3 linked regions of the Callithrix jacchus genome follow. The protein of the gene in region 1 interacts with the protein of each later gene in a pairwise test. Links are inferred from orthologs where the notes say so. Each region holds a gene or a part of one and is shown in the gene's direction. Other genes may lie near its edges.

Evidence for each region.
Region 2: the proteins of OTX1 (region 1) and VWC2L interact in binary tests that used the Homo sapiens proteins (3 or more experiments, as listed by UniProt). The two-hybrid records come from large-scale screens. The link is inferred for Callithrix jacchus from reciprocal best matches to the Homo sapiens genes OTX1 and VWC2L.
Region 3: the proteins of OTX1 (region 1) and SPRY2 interact in binary tests that used the Homo sapiens proteins (3 or more experiments, as listed by UniProt). The two-hybrid records come from large-scale screens. The link is inferred for Callithrix jacchus from reciprocal best matches to the Homo sapiens genes OTX1 and SPRY2.

What each region holds. Positions count from the first base shown.
Region 1 is NC_133515.1:51,065,386-51,071,124, reverse strand, and holds the start of OTX1 (homeobox protein OTX1), read left to right. Parts: upstream 1-1,942; 5' UTR 1,943-2,010; intron 2,011-2,360; 5' UTR 2,361-2,429; intron 2,430-3,989; 5' UTR 3,990-4,100; coding exon 4,101-4,197; intron 4,198-5,135; coding exon 5,136-5,287; intron 5,288-5,739. UniProt on the Homo sapiens protein: Probably plays a role in the development of the brain and the sense organs. Can bind to the BCD target sequence (BTS): 5'-TCTAATCCC-3'.
Region 2 is NC_133507.1:136,202,962-136,208,811, forward strand, and holds the start of VWC2L (von Willebrand factor C domain-containing protein 2-like), read left to right. Parts: upstream 1-2,564; 5' UTR 2,565-3,274; intron 3,275-5,633; 5' UTR 5,634-5,713; coding exon 5,714-5,850. Other genes in the region: SPAG16 (sperm-associated antigen 16 protein), read left to right, coding at 1,627-1,802.
Region 3 is NC_133502.1:34,886,854-34,892,751, forward strand, and holds the start of SPRY2 (protein sprouty homolog 2), read left to right. Parts: upstream 1-2,612; 5' UTR 2,613-3,118; intron 3,119-3,401; exon of another isoform or gene 3,402-3,879; intron 3,880-4,111; exon of another isoform or gene 4,112-4,266; intron 4,267-4,369; exon of another isoform or gene 4,370-4,408; intron 4,409-4,468; exon of another isoform or gene 4,469-5,004; intron 5,005-5,898.

The sequences.
Region 1 (5,739 bases):
GCCTAAGGTGTGTCCCCGCCTGGGTTAGCGCTGCGCTATGCGCTGTTTCTTTTCCTCTTAAAGCTTCTTTCTCACTCACTCTTTCCCTCTTTCTCTCTCTCATTTTTTCCCATTTCTCTCGTTCTTTTATTCAGCTTTCTCTCTTTATCTCCCTTTTGTGAATGGGCCGTGGTTTCTTTGTTCTGGAGAGAAGCGCCCGTGTCGCTGACTTTTGTGAACCAGAGAAGGATCTTGTAAAACCTCCTTTTCTCCTTCGTACGCCCCCACTCCCACTCCTCCTCCCCTGCCCCCTTGATTAGATGTTCCCTCATCGTAAAAAAAAAAAATGTAATTTCGTTGGTCTGGCGGCCACTTTCTTTGAACATTAGCTCGCTTTCAGCTCCAACTTCAATTAGAAGGAGTTGATTTTGAGAGATCAACAAAAGAACCGACCAAAGCCTTATTAAAGGTCCTAAGAAGATCTCCCGGGCCCTTTGAGAAGCAGTTAAGGAAACAGTGTGCCCTCCATCATATTCTGTTACCGTATTTTATTCGGACTCCAAAGGAAAGTGTCGCTTGGGGGAGGGGGAAGCACTTTGATGAGCGGCGGCCGCGGCCCCTTTTCACTCAGCGGGCTCCCCTTTCCTTCTCCTCCTTCTCGCCCAGCGCCCGGTCTGCTCTCGGCGCCCGACCCCGCGGCCCGGGCTGCGCGGGTGCTCCCCACTGCGATGCGCCTGGAGGCTCCTTGACTCGCCTTCACACTTACTCCTTTGCAAACTTTTTACTACTCCTGTCGGGGTGAGGGAGTAGGAGATTAGAAACAAGGGGTAGAAATTCCTCGAAAGGTAATAAAGTGCCTAATTTTCAGGAGGAGGTGCCATTTAAAAGATTCGCCTTACTCGGAGTTGGGACGAAAACACTTTTTTTGCACTTTGAAAAGTCCACCCAGGTAGACGCGTTTGGGAAGTTTGTTCGGCTAGGAAATGGGCTTCACATATACGAACAATCCGGGGAAATCGCCTCAAGGAGGCTCCTTACGCAGCATGTGGAAAAAAAGTTGAGGGCAGGGGTCTGTGGCCACATTTTTCATCTAAAAGTCCCTGTTAGAGGGAGACTAGGAAAGACAGAGTGTGAAAAAGAAAGTTTCCTAGCAAAATGTTTGAATTAAGAAATAGGGTGTGTGTGTGAGGGGAAGAGGACGCTGGGTTCCAATGTTTCAGAAGAAGCGCTTAAGACTTGTAAACACCCTTGGTGGGGACTGGGAACCCCGGGAGAGGCCGACGAGCAGGTAAGTGGCGGCGCCCTTCCAGTGGGTGCTCTTCTCAGGCGCGGGAGTCCCGAGGCGCCGAAGAGAGATCTGCGCGCCCGGAGCTGCTCCCGCGCTCTGCAAAGTAGCCTGTGCTGGCACGAGCCGCCCGCGGCGTCGGTCTCAGGTGGCGGCGCAGAGGAAGGAAACGTTGGGGCCCGCGGCGCCGGGAGAGGGGCAGACGCCCGGGCTCTTCTAGTCCGCCGCCCCCGAGTCCTGGCGCCCACATCCGGGCGGCAGAGCCTGGTAGTGCCTCGGAGAGCGAAGGAACCGGTTCTCCAGCACCTCGCGCTCTCCGAGCCACTCCCTCCAGAGCGCCTAAAGCGCGAGAGAAGGGCCGGGGGGCCCAGGGCAGGCTTGGGGACCCGCGGTCCCCTCAGCGGCCAGGACTCCGGCTCTCCGCTCGCCTTCCTCGGCTAGCTCTGCGCCGCTTTTGCCAGCCGAGTTAGCGCGCGACCGGGGCGGGGCGGGCGGGCGGGCGGGGAAGGCGGGGAGTGGGGGGCGGGGGAGGGCGGGGGCGCGCGGAGGTAACCCCCGGCTCGCGCTGCCATTGCCCGGCTCCCTGTCACTCAGCCCGCGCGGGGCCCCCGATTGGCGGCCTAGCCCCGTTACGCACTCGCCTCGCGTTCACATACCCGGGGAGGGCAGTAGAAAGGTGATCAATCTTCATCAGGCTACATTTCCAATCACCTAAACAACCGAGCAAGACAAGCCACTCCGACAAGGTAAATCGCTTGATTTATTTAGTTTGCAAAGTGACTGTGCAGGACTTCCCAGTCCCCACTGCCTCCACGTTGTATCGGGAGTGCCGCGGCAACGCCGAGCCACCTCCCAACTCTGCCACTCGAATTACCCCCCTTGCGGCCCCTCGGCGCGATTCCCGGTCAGGCAATGTCCTGAGAACGCGTGGGGCTTAGCAAACAAAGTGTCTGTGCAATAAAGTGAAACCCTTAGGGACACGCACAAAGCCACTGGAAAAAAAGATAGACGTGGGAGGAAAGAAGTTGAGAAAAGAAAGAAACCGGGGGTCCTAGACCAGCCGCCGGGGTAATTCCTGTGCCGCTCTGTTTTGCAGGTTGGCTGCCCGGCGGGTCTCTGTGAGGGATCCAGGTAGATGGTGAACGGCCCCGGCAGCTGAGGGCAGGTAAGGAGAAAGCCGCGGGGCCACCCGGGACTCCGGGAGCGCGTTGGTTACCCTTACCTCCCCCTCCTCAAATGGATCCTCGCTTCCCGGAGCCCCAGCAGGTGGGCGGGGCTGGGGGAGCGGCCTGACTCCCCTCTGGGTGCGCGGAGGACCCCGGGGCGCTGTCGCGGCCCGCCGCCCCCTCCCCCGCCTCCTCCGAAGTAACCGAGCTGAAGTGCTAAGTTTGGAGAAAGTCTTTGAAAACTCAGGCTGCAGCCTCGCAGAGCCGTCGCAGCTTTGAGTCCCATTTTCCTTTGGCCTAAGAGCCCTGGCTGCTTCCCTTCTCGTTCCCTCCCTACAAGCTGGACTCCTCCTCTGGCCTTGGGTCCGAGAGGACGGGGGCAGGAACGGGGCTGGGGGGAGCTTCTTTAACTCCAACTTCTCTCCCTAAACGTCCTAACCCGAGTCCCTGGCCTGCTTCACAGCGATCCCGCAAAGCGGGGTGTAGCGACGGCCCCCTAGAACCCCAGGCCCACTTTCCAGTGCCCCTCCCTGACCCTTGAGAGTGGCGCCTGGGTTCTCGGCAGCAGCGGGGGCAAGGCTTCGACCTCCCAGCTCGGGTCTGCGTGGGCTCTGCCGCTGAGGCCTAGTTCTCTGTTCTCAACAGTGTCCTGGGGCCTCGGGTTCAGCTACTAGGATGGCAGCATGCAACTTGCTGCCCTCTGGCTTCGCAAATCTCAGAGACCCTTTAAGGTGCTGGGCCCCAGCCTTCACCCCCTGCTGGGACCATGTGGTCAGAAGCCCAGACTGGGCAGAGAGAAGGACGGGTGCGCGCTGGCAACGAAGGGCGATGGCCGCAGCTGAGGCGCTCCTGACCTCAGGCCGCGTCTTGGGATCGCCCCCTCTACAGTGTTCCCTTCAGCGTCCTCTGGCCCTCTGCGGCCTGGGCCCGTTGCTGCGGTTGAAGTGTGGTGTGATTCCGCGTCAGCGATTTTTCAGTGGTTGGGCATAGAGAAGTTAGCTGGAATGGTTATTGTGGGCTCTGGGGCAGGGACGCAGCCCTGGACGCGTTAGAAGAAACCAAGTGTCTAGGTGCATAAGAGGTTGAGGTGCAGTTAGTCCTCCACATTGCCTCACCTTGGCCCTTCATAGTCTCTACCTTTTCAAAAACACTGAAACAAAACGAAACAACCCTGCATGCTCTGGGCGCCCTGCCCCGGGCACCAAGTGAACTTTTGTTTGTGCAACATGAAGCCGGCTTCTGCCGGACTCAGAATTTTGCCTGGACTTGGGAGGTTGTACATTCTGTGTTTCCAGCTCTACCTCCCAGCCTGGCCCTGCTTTTAACTTCTTACTCTATGGACTCCCTACCAGTATCTTTGGCCCATTCCGAGCCTAGAGCTAGAGGACCTAGAAAACTTTACTTTTCAAAGCAACTGTGGTTTCTGGGCTAAGTCCTTGTGGAGGCTAGTTGACCACCCTGCGGAGTTCTGTAACCTGCCTTCCCTGTCTATCCCCGGACAAGACTTGAAAGCCAAGTGCCTCCGACTGATGGTTTCCGTGTGTATCGTGTCTCCATAGGCCAGGCCCCCAGACGCATCAGAGCCTGAAGGACTGCGCAGTGGGAGCCCTGCACCGCTCCTGGCCCCGGGCCCCCTGGATCTGTCGGGGCGCCTCCACCCAGCTGTTAGCATGATGTCTTACCTCAAACAACCCCCATACGGCATGAATGGGCTGGGCCTGGCCGGGCCTGCCATGGACCTTCTGCACCCCTCCGTGGGCTATCCGGGTGAGCACCGGCCTTCCGGCCCCTGCCCAAGACTCTCAAATGTTGGGGACCCTCAGACTGTTGGGTTTGAGTGTAAGCTTTGTTGCCGAGCAGGCCCAGGGAGCCGATTGCCTAATCTGTTTACAGTACAGGGCCCACTGTCGGCGCACTGAGCAGACTCGTGGGCGCATGAGGTGGCCAGGGCTGAGAAAACGCCCAACGTGCGCCTTCCCGGCCGGGTCACCGACAACCTTTCTCCTGTTGTGGTCCCATCGCCAGCGCAGAGCGCATTTACCCGCGGATTTGCTAGTAAGGGGCGGCTGATGATTTTCCTTTTCTCCCAACATGGAATGAGTAATCTGGACACTCGTTAGGCCCTGACCGAAGGAGCCAAACTTTCCTTATGTGAAACGGCAGGTGGACTGAAAAAGGAAGATTCTTTCTCTCGAATTAAATTGTCCTCTAAATCAATGTCCTGCACCCATTTTTGCACTGCTGTAGAGGACGACTTGAGTCAAACCCCGGTTTCTTTTTTAGCTCCCACTCGTTTACACCATTTATTTTCTCTGAAAGTGTTTTTCATCTTTCCTACATGAAAGGTGCCTACATCTTTCTCACTCCCTGTCCCCCAGCCAGTGTGTGTGTGTGTGTGTGTGTGTGTGTGTGTGTGTGTGTGTGTACAGGGGAGGGGGGAAAAACTTTTCTTACTTTTTCAACCTCTGGGAGGCAGGGAGAGACGCAGCCCTCGAATCTTGGAGACACTGGCTCCTAGTCGCACATAAGCACTTTCTCCCACCTGTGGCCTCTCAGGCTCGGCCGCCGGAGGGAGTTTCTTTTATTCCCAGTTCGGCTTCTCTTGAGAAGGCCGAGCTATGAACCTGCCAGGGGCTTCCCAGAGTTCACTATCCCTGGTCCGCGTGGCCACCAATGACCCGCGGCGCCCCCGCCTGTCCCCACAGCCACTCCGCGGAAGCAGCGGCGGGAGCGCACCACCTTCACGCGTTCACAGCTGGACGTGCTCGAGGCGCTCTTCGCCAAGACTCGCTACCCTGACATCTTCATGCGGGAGGAGGTGGCCCTCAAGATCAACCTGCCGGAGTCCAGAGTCCAGGTCCGCACTCCCCAGGCTCCAGGGTCTGGGTAGGGGCGCTGTGGCTGCTCGGGGAAGGTCTCGGAAGGCTCCTGGGGAGTTCTGAAGGAGACCGGCCTGCAGGGGTGGGCTGACAGACTGGGCAGCCCCTCTCGGACTCCCCCTAGCGCTGGGCCCCAGCCAGGAAAGGGGGCAAAAGTTAAGGGAAATGGCTTAGAGCCCTAGATTCCGCCCTTAGCCCTAGGACGCCTTAGGTATTGGTATTGAAAGTCCTTTTTAGAATTGCAGGAGGACCAGGGAGGCTCCCGAAAGTAAAGCACCCTGCGGGCCTGACACTTGCCCCTGCTTCTTCGCCTGACCCAGGACTTGGCAGTTTCCCTCAGAGGCCTGAATTCTGCCTCTGCTCTTGGGTTGCACCCTGGGAATCCTAGAAATGAAAGAACGGAGACTGGCCAGAGCCTGGTGCTCTGCCT
Region 2 (5,850 bases), on another chromosome or scaffold:
AGGTTATTTGATTCTTAGGAAAGTCACAAACAGCAATTGCCTATAGAGTGAGGTTGGAAGTGAAATCCATATGTAATACCTCTGTCAGCAAAGACTTACTGGAAGAGGGTTTATAATAAATATTCACATCTGCTTCTTTGGACACTCTAATCCATCCTAAGGATCTTTGCTGTGTCAGGCTTTGTTCTAGATGAAGAAGCCCAAGCCCAGTAGTTATAAAGGTTTACAAATAGGCTTTATTTATCATGGTTAGCTTTATTTTTATAACTTTTCTCTGTTTTAGAGGTATTCATGATGATTGGGGGTAAGATTTGTGATTAAATATTACACTATAGCTTTTATGGTGATATCATTCTAGAATTCTTATTATAAAATGGACCAATGCTATTTGCACAATACATCACTTACCTAAAATCTGTCAAGAAGGCATCACTGATAACAATGCTCTGCTGGTTGTGGAAAACATAATGGCTTAAAAGCCCAGGCTCTGGATTCAAAGTGCTGTGATTAAATGCTAGCTCCTTCTATACCTAGGGTGTCATCAGTTCACCTTTCTAAGCCTCTGTCTCTTCACCTACATAGAGGAGTTAATACTATTTATCATTAGACTATTATAAGGATCATATGGAATTATCCATATCAAGTACTAAATATGGTATCTATCACATTAAAAGAGTTTAATAAATTTTAAATATTATTACTGAAACAATAATATGCCTTCTAAGTATGATTAGTCCCATGGATAGTACTAATGTCATACTTATTTACACTAAGTACTGAGCTTACGCAAACACATTCTATTGCTTTTACTTACCTCCAAATCCCATGATAGTTTCTTACTAGATGTCCTTAATAAAAACATTAATTAAAATTGGATCCCTGATTTGTTTTCACTTTGAGGAAATGAGTCATTATGAAATATATGGTACAAAAATTATGCAAATATACTGTGCTGTATTTTTTTTTAGAAACAAAATTAACAAAATTTGAATTCTAAGCTATAGTAAAACCTCCCAAGTCCTTTTTAAATGGAAGTATTTATTTCCACTTCAGCTACAAAAAAAAAAAAAAATATTTGTTGAGTGCATGAGTATCACAATTTTTAAAGCAGGAATGTATATTATTAAGTTGCAAGTAATGACTAACAATTTAAAAAATAAGTTTAAAGAAGAATACAAATTTTAAAATATAAATTATTCATATAGATACAGATATATGTTTTCCATAAGTTTTTAAAGCTATGCCTTTTAAAACTTTTAAACATATAATTTATTTGAAAAAGAATGTTGCTTTGCATAGTTGCTTTCAAAATCATATCCTCAAAATGCTTTATTAGTCACAAATAAAAAAGAATAGTAGGACATTTGAGGAACTCTGCATATAAAGGAGAAAGAGCATTAGGCTTTATGTCCCAATTCAAAAATGTTATAATCTAATGATTGATGCGTCTTGATTTTGGCTCAATTTATTTCTTATACCTACAGGAGCTACTTTATATTTAATAACTGACATCTAACACAGAATGATAATTGAAAGAAAATAGAATGCTTCATTGCTTATAAATTGTAAACGCTTGAAATAAAACTTTGATTCATTCTCTTTCTCCTGTCTGTCTGTCTCTCTCAGGTCGAGTTTTAGCTCAGGCGAGTGGCAATGGTGTTATCCATTTGCTAGATCTTAAATCTGGGCAGATTCACAAATTGCTGGGCCACGAAAGAGAGGCGCACACGGTTGTGTTTTCTCACGACGGGGAGATTCTGTTTTCTGGAGGATCTGATGGCACAGTTCGAACGTGGTCTTGACCGTCAGCATATCCCGCTGCGGAGGGTATTCCCTTTAAGGCTTGAAAATGCCTCCTGTAGTCCCAAACCAGTAAATAACTGGTTAAATGTGCCAGCAGGTAACATTTACAGTTTGCTTTAAAACGTGCTTTGGACATATATTTTAGTGCTCAGACTGTTACTAATAAAAAAATAACTTTATGCTCACTCATTTGTGTCGGGGTCTTTTTTCTCTCTCGTTTTGATCAGAATTTAGAGACACGTCTTTGCTAGGGGTTTTGAAAGAAACAGCTTTACAATGACGCCTAATGACAGACTAGATGAATTACAGGAGATTGATTTTTAATGTTAGAGAACAAACTGCAGGAAAACCTGCTACTTTTTTTTTCTTTTAAAATCAGATCCAAGCTGCAGGAAGAACTGAAGTTTAATCATGCAGCACCGGGCAAGTCTTTCTGCTACCAAAGGGTCAAATAGAATCGACGAGCGTACGTTTTTACAGATTCTTTGACAATGATTATGCTTTATCTATTAATAATAATCAGGGACTGCAGATAGCTTAAATCTAAATGCAAGCCTTTTCCGGAACTTTCATCTCTGCAGCCCATCCAAGAATGCGTTAGGTATAATTACAATTTTTTAGAAAAAAAAATTTTTTATTTGTAATTTCAATGCAAATAAGTATCTCGCACATAGAATGCCTTTACCACTCCTGATGCACGCATCCGCTGTATAAAGTGCGACTGCTTGGAGAGCACTCTAGCCTCGTCTAAAGCAGCTCGGGGATTTCGACAGAGCTGGGCTCAGAAGCCAGTTGTTGGCGCTGTCCGTGGTGCTGAGGAATTCCCGGCTGCCGGCAGAATGAGCTCCAAATCAGCAATCTGCAAACTGCTCTCAGTGATGCAGAAACCCAGCTAAAGTTGCTCCTTTCCTTCACGTCCACAGTTAGTATGTTCCGGCGTGTAATAGGGGATTCAAGCAACATACTGTGAACGATGGTGATGGTACTGCCAGCGGAGTGGGCTTTAAGCTATAGCATGCTGTTGCTGTTTGTGATCCTCAGAGCCTAGCCAAATCACCTCTACTGCCGTAGCAAACACTGTGTAAGTGAACTCATGTGTGGAGGAGGCGTAATCAGCCGGGAAATTTCATAGAAGGATCTAAGAAAATGCTAAAAATAAGTTCAACATGATTCTGCTACTGGGGTCTGGATTTCTACAGGACCAGCATTGCTTCTTTCTTTGAATTCTGAAGACCAGTCCAAAGCAAATTTCTTATGTGTGTCTGCTGTGTTTCTTTCTGGAAGGGCGGGAGACTGCTTCTTTACTGTGTTTTGAAATGGGAGGTAGAGAGAATGGATTGCCTTTAATTCATGCCTAAAAATGTATTCTTTGGGTAATTAAAGAAGAACTGCTTTCCTAAAACATACCTGACCTTTTAGTTCATTTTGGGCTGTGACCCCTACCTCCACCATTAACCTCCAGAGTGATTAGGTAAGTGTATCTTACGACATGAGTTATGTTTGTTTTCTCAAAGAAATAGATGCAGTCATTTTAAATCATATGTAGCAATATGGGGAGGGGGGGAAAGTTAAGATGGGAAGTGATCCTCAGTTTAGCAATGTTTGCTTTCTTATTAAACATCTTCAGATACACATTATATTTGATTTCTCCAATGTTTCTTCTCTTAAATAAATAGTGTCTTAAATTGTAGTAGGGCAGCTCAATTATGAAGAAGCCTTTTAAAAAATAGCCTAAGAACTTTGTTTTATTGAAAATAAAAGCTTGTTTTTTACCATGCAGATTTTAAGATATATTTCACATAATAAAAACATATTTAATGTTTATATGAAGTAGATATTACATTCCTATTTTACCTCTAAGTTTACATTTACCATAACCTAACACATTAATGCCTACCTGTGGCTTACAAAGAGATCATTTTCTGTCTATGTCCCTTTGAAGCAGAATCGTATGTGTATTTTATATGGCTTATCTTGCATGTATTGACAGATACTGCTAGAATATTATAAGGAAGCACAGCAGCTTTCTTTTCCTCTAAGGTAAACTTTGTAAATATGTGATGTACAAATGCTTGCTTTAATTAGTAAATTATATTTATGCTTTTTCAGAAGCTTCTGTTATGTTTGTTATATCTGTAGTAATTTGAGAGGAAAAAAATGCTTTGTCAAAGGGAGCTTCCAGATTCTCAAGTAGAATTATAGGTTTGCATTTTCTTGTTCTGTCATGACTCATTATTTTTGACATATTTTATAAGAAATCATCTGCTTTATTATTGCCTACTCAAAGGGAATTCTAATATCAGAGGATATCAGAGGAATTCTAATATCAGCTTTCTCTGAAAAGAGAGCATACTACCTTCCATTTTACTATTACTAGAATTTGCATATTTACCTTAAAATGCAAATATAATATGTTTATGAAGTTTCCTAATATCACTTTATAGTATTTTAAATTATCATCTGTATATGTTAAAGTGAAAAGAGATGGTTTTCATTGCTCTTAATATAATCTGAAGATGAACCAATAGATAACATTTATAACTGACCTGAAAATGTCCTATATACAATCTTAGTAACATTGGCATGAAGCCAATCACATTTAAATAAATGAATAAGCTATTTGACAACAATTTTTCTTATTTATTACTCCCTAAAGTCACAGTTTTCCCAGAGCCTCTGTGTGAGCTAGTCATTCTAAATATTTAAATAAGAGCCCACTCCCAACACTTCACATCAAGTACCAGTACTAAGTGGTATTTACAAGAGTCAGTGTCACGAAATTAATAAGTCATATTTTCTATGAATCGTTAATAATTACTGTTTTAAGCAACTTCCATAAAGTTTTAAGCTGACATCTTTGTGCAAATGGCCTACAAGCAAATATTTTTGACATTTCAAGAGTTATGTTTTCAAGAACTCAAAAATTGTAACTATATTATATTGAAATGTTTAAATAATACTATGTATCCACTAGATTTAAGTTACTGTGAAATAAATGTATAGATAGATCTCTCCTGTCCACAAGGAGCTTACTTCCTATGTAAAATAATGTGGACAAGAATACAAATACATTTGTTTTTAACAATTTCTTTTAAGCACATAGAATTCTCTTGTATTATTTTATCTCTATTTCAAATTTTCTCTTGTATTATTTTATCTCATTATTTCAAGTTTTTTTTCTCTTGATCGCTATGGAATAGTCATGCTGTTTTTGTTATTAACAATATTTCAAAAATCCAGATTCATGTTCACTGAAATAGGCAACTGATGTTGATACCATCGTTGTTCTCCCATTATGGGCATAAATAAAAAACCCTTTATAGTAGCTTCATCCTAATTACAATTTACATTCAACTGCTGGTTTATTCCTTTCATTTTAGAATTTGATTTTTTTTCACTAATCTCTTGAGTTGATACAGATGATTACAATATATGTTCCATCACTGACTAGTCCAGTTTAAAGAATAACAGAAAATGTGAGTTCAAATATTCTTGAGCTATTTGTAAGTTACTCCTTGTAATCACCTTTTAGGGCTCAGTAAAACCATTTCTTTGCAATCTTGACAAAGCCAGATGTTTGAAATTCAGAAGGAAAATTCAAGCTGAAGTTTCCCATATAAAATAATCCAAAAGGACAAATTTTAATGCATATATTGCCAAGTATCAACTCTCTAAACTTCACAGTAAGGCATAGATAGTTGCATGAACTTAGTCTATTTGAAGTCTTAGTGTCTTCCAATTGATCCCAAACAGTTTAGGGGCATGGACTTAAATGAATCTATCTTCACTTTATATATGTCAAATTATTTTTTTTAAACATTTATTTTCAGCCTACCCCTCTTGTATTCTCATGGAAGAAGCTGAGTATATTTAATATTAGGAGCACATCCAGAAGTCTTTGAAGAGGGGGATGGCTCTTCATATTCATGAAGCTTACATACTTCTGTTGGTAATCCCTGGATTGGTCACATCTGCTGCTATCAGTCATGAAGACTATCCTGCTGATGAAGGTGACCAGATCTCCAGTAATGACAATCTGATCTTTGA
Region 3 (5,898 bases), on another chromosome or scaffold:
ATTAATATACAGACTAAGGAGTAAATTAGAAAGAATCCAATGGATTCTTGTGTTTACCTTGAACTTAAGTTACAGGTTAAATGTTTCCCCAGCCAGCAAACTGGAGATTGTGATAAGAAGGGGTGAAGGGAAGAGCTAGATGACATCAGATTCTTTCTAGCTCATGGAAGATAAGATGTAAATTCCTAGATTTCCCCCTATTAACTCCATAAAAAATATAAAGTTCTCGAAACAGCCGGGAGTTCCTGATCTAAATTCCGTTGCATGCTTAGATCCCTAACGATGTGTCTTCGCAAAGTTCCTGCAACGCTGGGAGACGAGCAGGGGACAAGTGTCTCCTAAAAAGCCGCCATCGAGTGCCGGAGTTTGAAGAGGAGAAGAGAAGGCGCTGCTTTCACCTGCTCCGCTGGAGAAACTTGCTGGCAGCGCACCGGCAGCGCGTTCCCGCCCAGCCTTGCACCACCCGGCTTTGACCCTCAGCTCCTTCCCGTTGGTAAAAGCTTGGGTACTTCCCAACCCAGGCGCCTCATCTCGCGTCCAAAATGGAATGTGTCCGAGCAGACAGGAGGGAAAGCTACCTTTTGCGTCGTTTATATTATGAATATCTCTGTATCATTTTAAACCAGCCTGTCTAACGCACGCACGTTTTGGAAGGTAACCCAGCTGGCGCGCGTCGAGTCCGGGAGAAGAAAGCAGCCTCCGCCCTGCGCCGGGCGGACGCCCCCTGCTGACCGTATGGGCCGCGAGCGCCTCGGCGCCCGCGTTCACTGGCGGCTCAAAGGATTCGGGCGTCTGGCGAGCGGCTGTGGCTGGAGAGGCCCAGCTGTCCTGCGCCCGCAGCCCGAGGACGCCCCGGAGCAGACCGTAGTAGCCTCTCCCACCCTCACCCCAGGGGTCGGGGGACTTAGGCCAGCGCCCGGAAATAACGCATGCTACGTCCCTTGCCATCTCTGGTTCCAAATCCCTGGAGAAAGAGGAGAGCCCTAGAGAAACATGGAGAAGGCAGGGTGAGAGCGCAGCGAGGCAGAGAGCGCGCTGGAGACATTCTAGAGACGAGCTCACAAGGCGGCGGCTAGTTCCAGGGTGGCTGCGAGTGGATTGGGTTAAAGCTGGGCGAATGAAAGCACCATGTTTTCCTAACACTGCTTTCAAAAACACCCTGCATGGGGCAAGATCTCAGGTGCTATTCGGGAGTTTTGACCGTACAAGCAGGTACTTCCCTGTAAAGTAAAAGCATTCTGTAAGTGGTTCGATAGAATGAAATATTAGGCGTGTGTATGCGCGAGTTTTAATTTTCCACTGGTGCTCCCACGTGCAGACACGTTTCTCAGCAAATGAACAGCAGGTAGGGCAGTGCATAGGTATGCATTTTTCTATCTTTTTTAAGTGGGAAAGAATACTACACCTTCAACCTGACAACAGGATCTTGCAAGAAAAGTGGGAAACGAAGGATGACTTCTAGTTAAGGGAAGGAGGAAATTTGTAGGGAAACAGTGAGCCAACCCTTCCCTCACCCCCCCCGCCCCCCCATTTCGGAAGCCGATGCTGTCGCCCTGAGTAATCATGTTTGTGTCTATTAATGAATTAAGTTAAAAGGCTTAGACGGTAAACTTTAGCTTTGCATGAAGCAAAACAGTAAGGAAACTCCTCAACAAGCCTCCACACATAGATAACCCCCCTTAAAAATGAAATTCTAATAAACGGAAAAACTACGAGTCGACACAATCAAAAGCAAATCCCAGCAAGAGCAGAAGGTACTTGAAACTCGAATCTGCATTCCGTTCCTCCTGTACAAGGCTCGGAGGTGGGGGAGGCGGTTTGTGCTGGTGCCTGGTGTATAATCGGGTTAATCCAGTAGACAAAGAATAAACCAATAGCCCTCCCACCTCACTTCCCGCTCCCCTTCCCCTCCCCCTTCTGCTCCTCCGGCCTCAGTCGGGTTCACCCCATCCGCAAAGGGGAACAGAAATGGGGAGAGGTAGACTTGAAATGGATTCCAGATAAAGTCTTAGAACCTGCAACTTGTTTTTCATGCTAACACTGCGTGGCCTGGATTAGTCTTAAATATTCATTCTCCTTTCCTGGTGCCAAAGAGAAAGTTCCCTAAGTTAGCTCGAGCCTCGGGCTCGTCCTCGGTGCCTCTGGGGAAACCTTAAGGTCAGTGTTTCCTTGAAACTAGATAAACTGACCCTGCCGTGCCCAGCCTGGCCCCCCGGGCGCCCCGCGTGACGGTGCCCGGGCGGCAGAACCGGCCTGGGGACACGCGGGGCGGCGCGGTTGCCCTTTTGAATGCCTCCTGCGGCTCGGAGCGCTGGCGGGCGCTGGAGTGTGAGTGAATGTAGCCCCGCGGAGCCAATGAGCTGGGACCGGATGCGATATATCCTCTGGGACAACAACTGCTCTGTTCCGCCTCGGATCCACATGACGCCATTTACTGCTGCCGCGGCCGCCGCAGCGCTCCCTGCCTCCTCCGGAAAGGCGAGGGCGCAGGCCAACGGCGAGCCCCCCCCGGCCGGGCCCCAGACCCTCCTCCTCCTCCTCCTCTTCCTCCTCCTCCTCCTCCGCACCCACCGCCCCCGCCTCGGCCTTGCTGCCTCGCCTCCACAACGCCCAGTCTGCACCGCCGAGAGCTGCGCGCCGCAGCGCTAGCGGAGGAGAGGGGCCGGCGGAGCGCGCAGCGCCCAGGCCCCCGCGCCCGCCCGGCCCGGCCCGCGCCCCCGCGCTGTCTCCGCTACGACGCGGCCCCGGCCGCACCACTTGGCGATCTGGCTTTAGGTTCTCTGTGAGGCCGTTTTCTTTTCCCATTCGCTCATCTGCTAGGAAAAAGGACTTGCCGTTGGCGCTTCGGCCTCTTGTTCATTGAGAAAAAAGAGGAAATACTCCGCGTGCGCTTCTAGAAGGGGGGTCGTCTCCAGCCCCGAACCCCGGAGTGTTCATCAGCAGGGAATTTGGCTCCGAATTGTCCTCTATTTTTTCTTCTCCCGCCGATGGCTCGGAAGTTGGACTGAAGCAGATTGGAAAGAAAGGAAAAAAGTTTGCATCGAGACTGGATTTATTTGCACATCGTAGAAAAAAAGAGAATCCAAGGGAGAGGGGTTGGTGCAAAGCCGCGATCACGGTGAGGCACGTTTGGCTCTTCCCCTCCTGGCGCCGTAGCCGGCGCGTTTTGGGCAACATGGAGTAGGTGCAGCCGGACCGGGAGTTGGGTCCGTGTGTCCCCGAGCCTCCCTTTCTCAAGTCCCGCAGGGTCTCCCTGAGGGTCCGGGGCATTACCCGCGGACCTGTCCTGGGGCTCGGGCTCGGCCTGCCTCTGCGGGGACTTGTGTATGCACCGGGTGCAGGGTCCCCGGCGGGCGATCCCGCGCGCCCCCGCTCTAGGGGGTTGGGACTGAGGACCGCTCGCCTGAAGCCCGCTCCCAGCCGTGCACTGGCCGCGAATTCGGCGCTGAGAGCGGGAGAGGGAGAGAAAAGCACTTTGTGTTTCCCGGGTCGCCTTTGCAGGCGCCCGCATTTCTAACCTGTTCCTCTTCTCAGTGGAAGGCAAAGTCCGGGGTGAGGCTGTCCCTAGGCGGTGCGCCGGTGGGACTGGGGGACGCAGGTTGCTCACCTCGGGGGCAGGAGACCCTGAGGGTGAGAAAAAGGCAGGCTGCCGGGTGGAGGGAGTCCCCGCCTCTGCTCCGTGTGGACGGTCTAGCCCGGAGCGGGTGGGAGCGTTGCCCTGCCTGGCGCCGGGTCTCTGCGGTTCGGAAGTGCAGCTCTCTCTCTTTTCCGTCCTTCGTGGTCAGCCAGGGTCACACTTATTTTATTTTTGGAAGCTCGGTCTGACCCAGCGCAGGAAGAAAGTCATCAAATGGTCGCTATCATTTCCATTACCTGAAAGTAGGTGGCAAAAGAGGCAGTTTTGTATTTCCTTTTGTTGTTGCTGTGTTTTAATTTGGAATCTTGTGTGTTTTTTACAAAGCAGTTTCTGTGTCCGTTTGCCCCACCCTAGAGCTGAAGTTCGTTCCCCCTAATCCTTAGTCTGATCACACACTGTTCTTAATGGGGGTTTCAAAGCACTTTCAAAGGGGAGGGGGGACTGGGAAAGAGAAGAGGGGCGGAGGTGGGGAGTGGAGCTTCGAAGGAGGAGGCCAGGGATCGGATCGGCAGAAATCACTTAAAAATAAAACTAGAAAAGCCTCCTTTTATTCCAAAGATGCTACTTTGACTGCAAGCAAATCTGCACCGAAAGTTACAGCTCGGGGAGCTGGATCCTGCACGCCCGGAGTGAGCAGTGGGGCCCTGGAAAATGCCCTTTTTTAAAAAAGCAAATTTTCTTTCACTTTAAGAAATAATGATATTTTTTTTTCTCTCTCTCTCGACCCGAAAGGAGATAGGCGTGTGCAGATCACAGGCAATGTCCACTTAGGTCAGTGCAGCGTGGAGTCGCTGTGTGTGCGTGGGTTGGACTTGCGCGTCCCGGCTGCTTGTCTCAGGCAGGGCTTTGGAGCTTGCGGTGTCGGGGTGGGAAACCTGTGCCGGATTTCCGAGGGGCTTTGCAGAAAGCCTGGCAGTGGGCGGCGTGACCTCTGCCTGGGGGCGCAGCGGCTCCTTGGGGCTGGAAAGCAGTTCTCGAGTTGGGGGAGATCTTAGCTGGGGAGAAGGAGGCGGGGGAAGTGTGCTCCTGCATTTCGTGACACGTCCCCTTCGGAGGCGCCCGCGGCCCCCGCCTGTCTGTGAGTCTGGGGATCGTAAGAGGAGGGGGGGGCACCCTGGCCCTTGGACAGCGTCAGTCCTCCTGGAGAAACGTCCCCTGGAGATCGGCTGTGTCCCACCTGCTGGGGACGGTGTTGGGGCGCAGAGAGGCGTTAAACTAAGTGAAAGCATAGGGCAGGGTTGTCTTCTGCCATTCTTTGGAGGTGAGGAGATCCGGTTTCCAGTTCTGCCTTGCTCCGAACTGGGAGACGTTTGTCACCTGGCTTGTTCGCTGTGGTCTCTATTCTAAAGAGCGGAGATTGGATAAAGGTCCACTTTTGCATGTTTTATACTTTTTATTGTCATATAGGCTTGAGAAAGGGGGTGATCCGTTTGAAATTTAAGAGGGACTGCAATTTAAGGAATTCCTTGACAATGCTGGGTGTGAAATGTGACATTTGAATTTTTAAAACACTTTTCTGGTTATTATGACTTCGTTTGTGTTCTCAGTTAATTTTTTTGAAAAGAGAAAATTAGTTGAGCTTTTGACATGCTTTATTTCTAAATCAGGGAGAACAACCTTTCAGCTGCAGAATCCAAGGTGGTGTTCTAGGCTAACAGAATGTAAAATACTTAATTCTCAAATGGTTAAGAAATTGAAAATAAATTATTGTCTTCTTGTTTATTGCGTAAGTTTGCTTTAACGTGTTTCTGGCACCCAATAGGATTTGATTTGCTTTTTGTTCTCTAACTTTGTGCTACAGTACAATTAATAAAAAAAAGCATGATTATTGTAAAATTTATAATTGTTCTTGATGGGCATTTTGCTTTTCTGCATGCCATATCCATTCTATTGGGTTTGAAAAAGTTACAGAATACCGGATAAGTCATAAAGTGTTTGCTGTAAAAGCAAAAGCTAACAACCAAGAATCTTCTAGGCTACATTATTAATGCTTAAGGCGAAACGACCATGAGAAATGGAAACCTATTTCACATTTTGAAAGAATTTTCAACTTCTGAAAACGTTGGTAGCAGTGTTATATTCCAGCAAAACTTTCTTGCGATTTTTACATTGAACCTGAACCTTGCAAACTGTATGTTTATTTGAATAAGGAATTCTTACTTAAGTGACTAAAACAAAGATCAGCTTTGTGTTGTTGTACATCACGGGATTACAGAATTGTCAGTAGCCAGCCATAATTTTCACTTGGGTACATGCGTCAT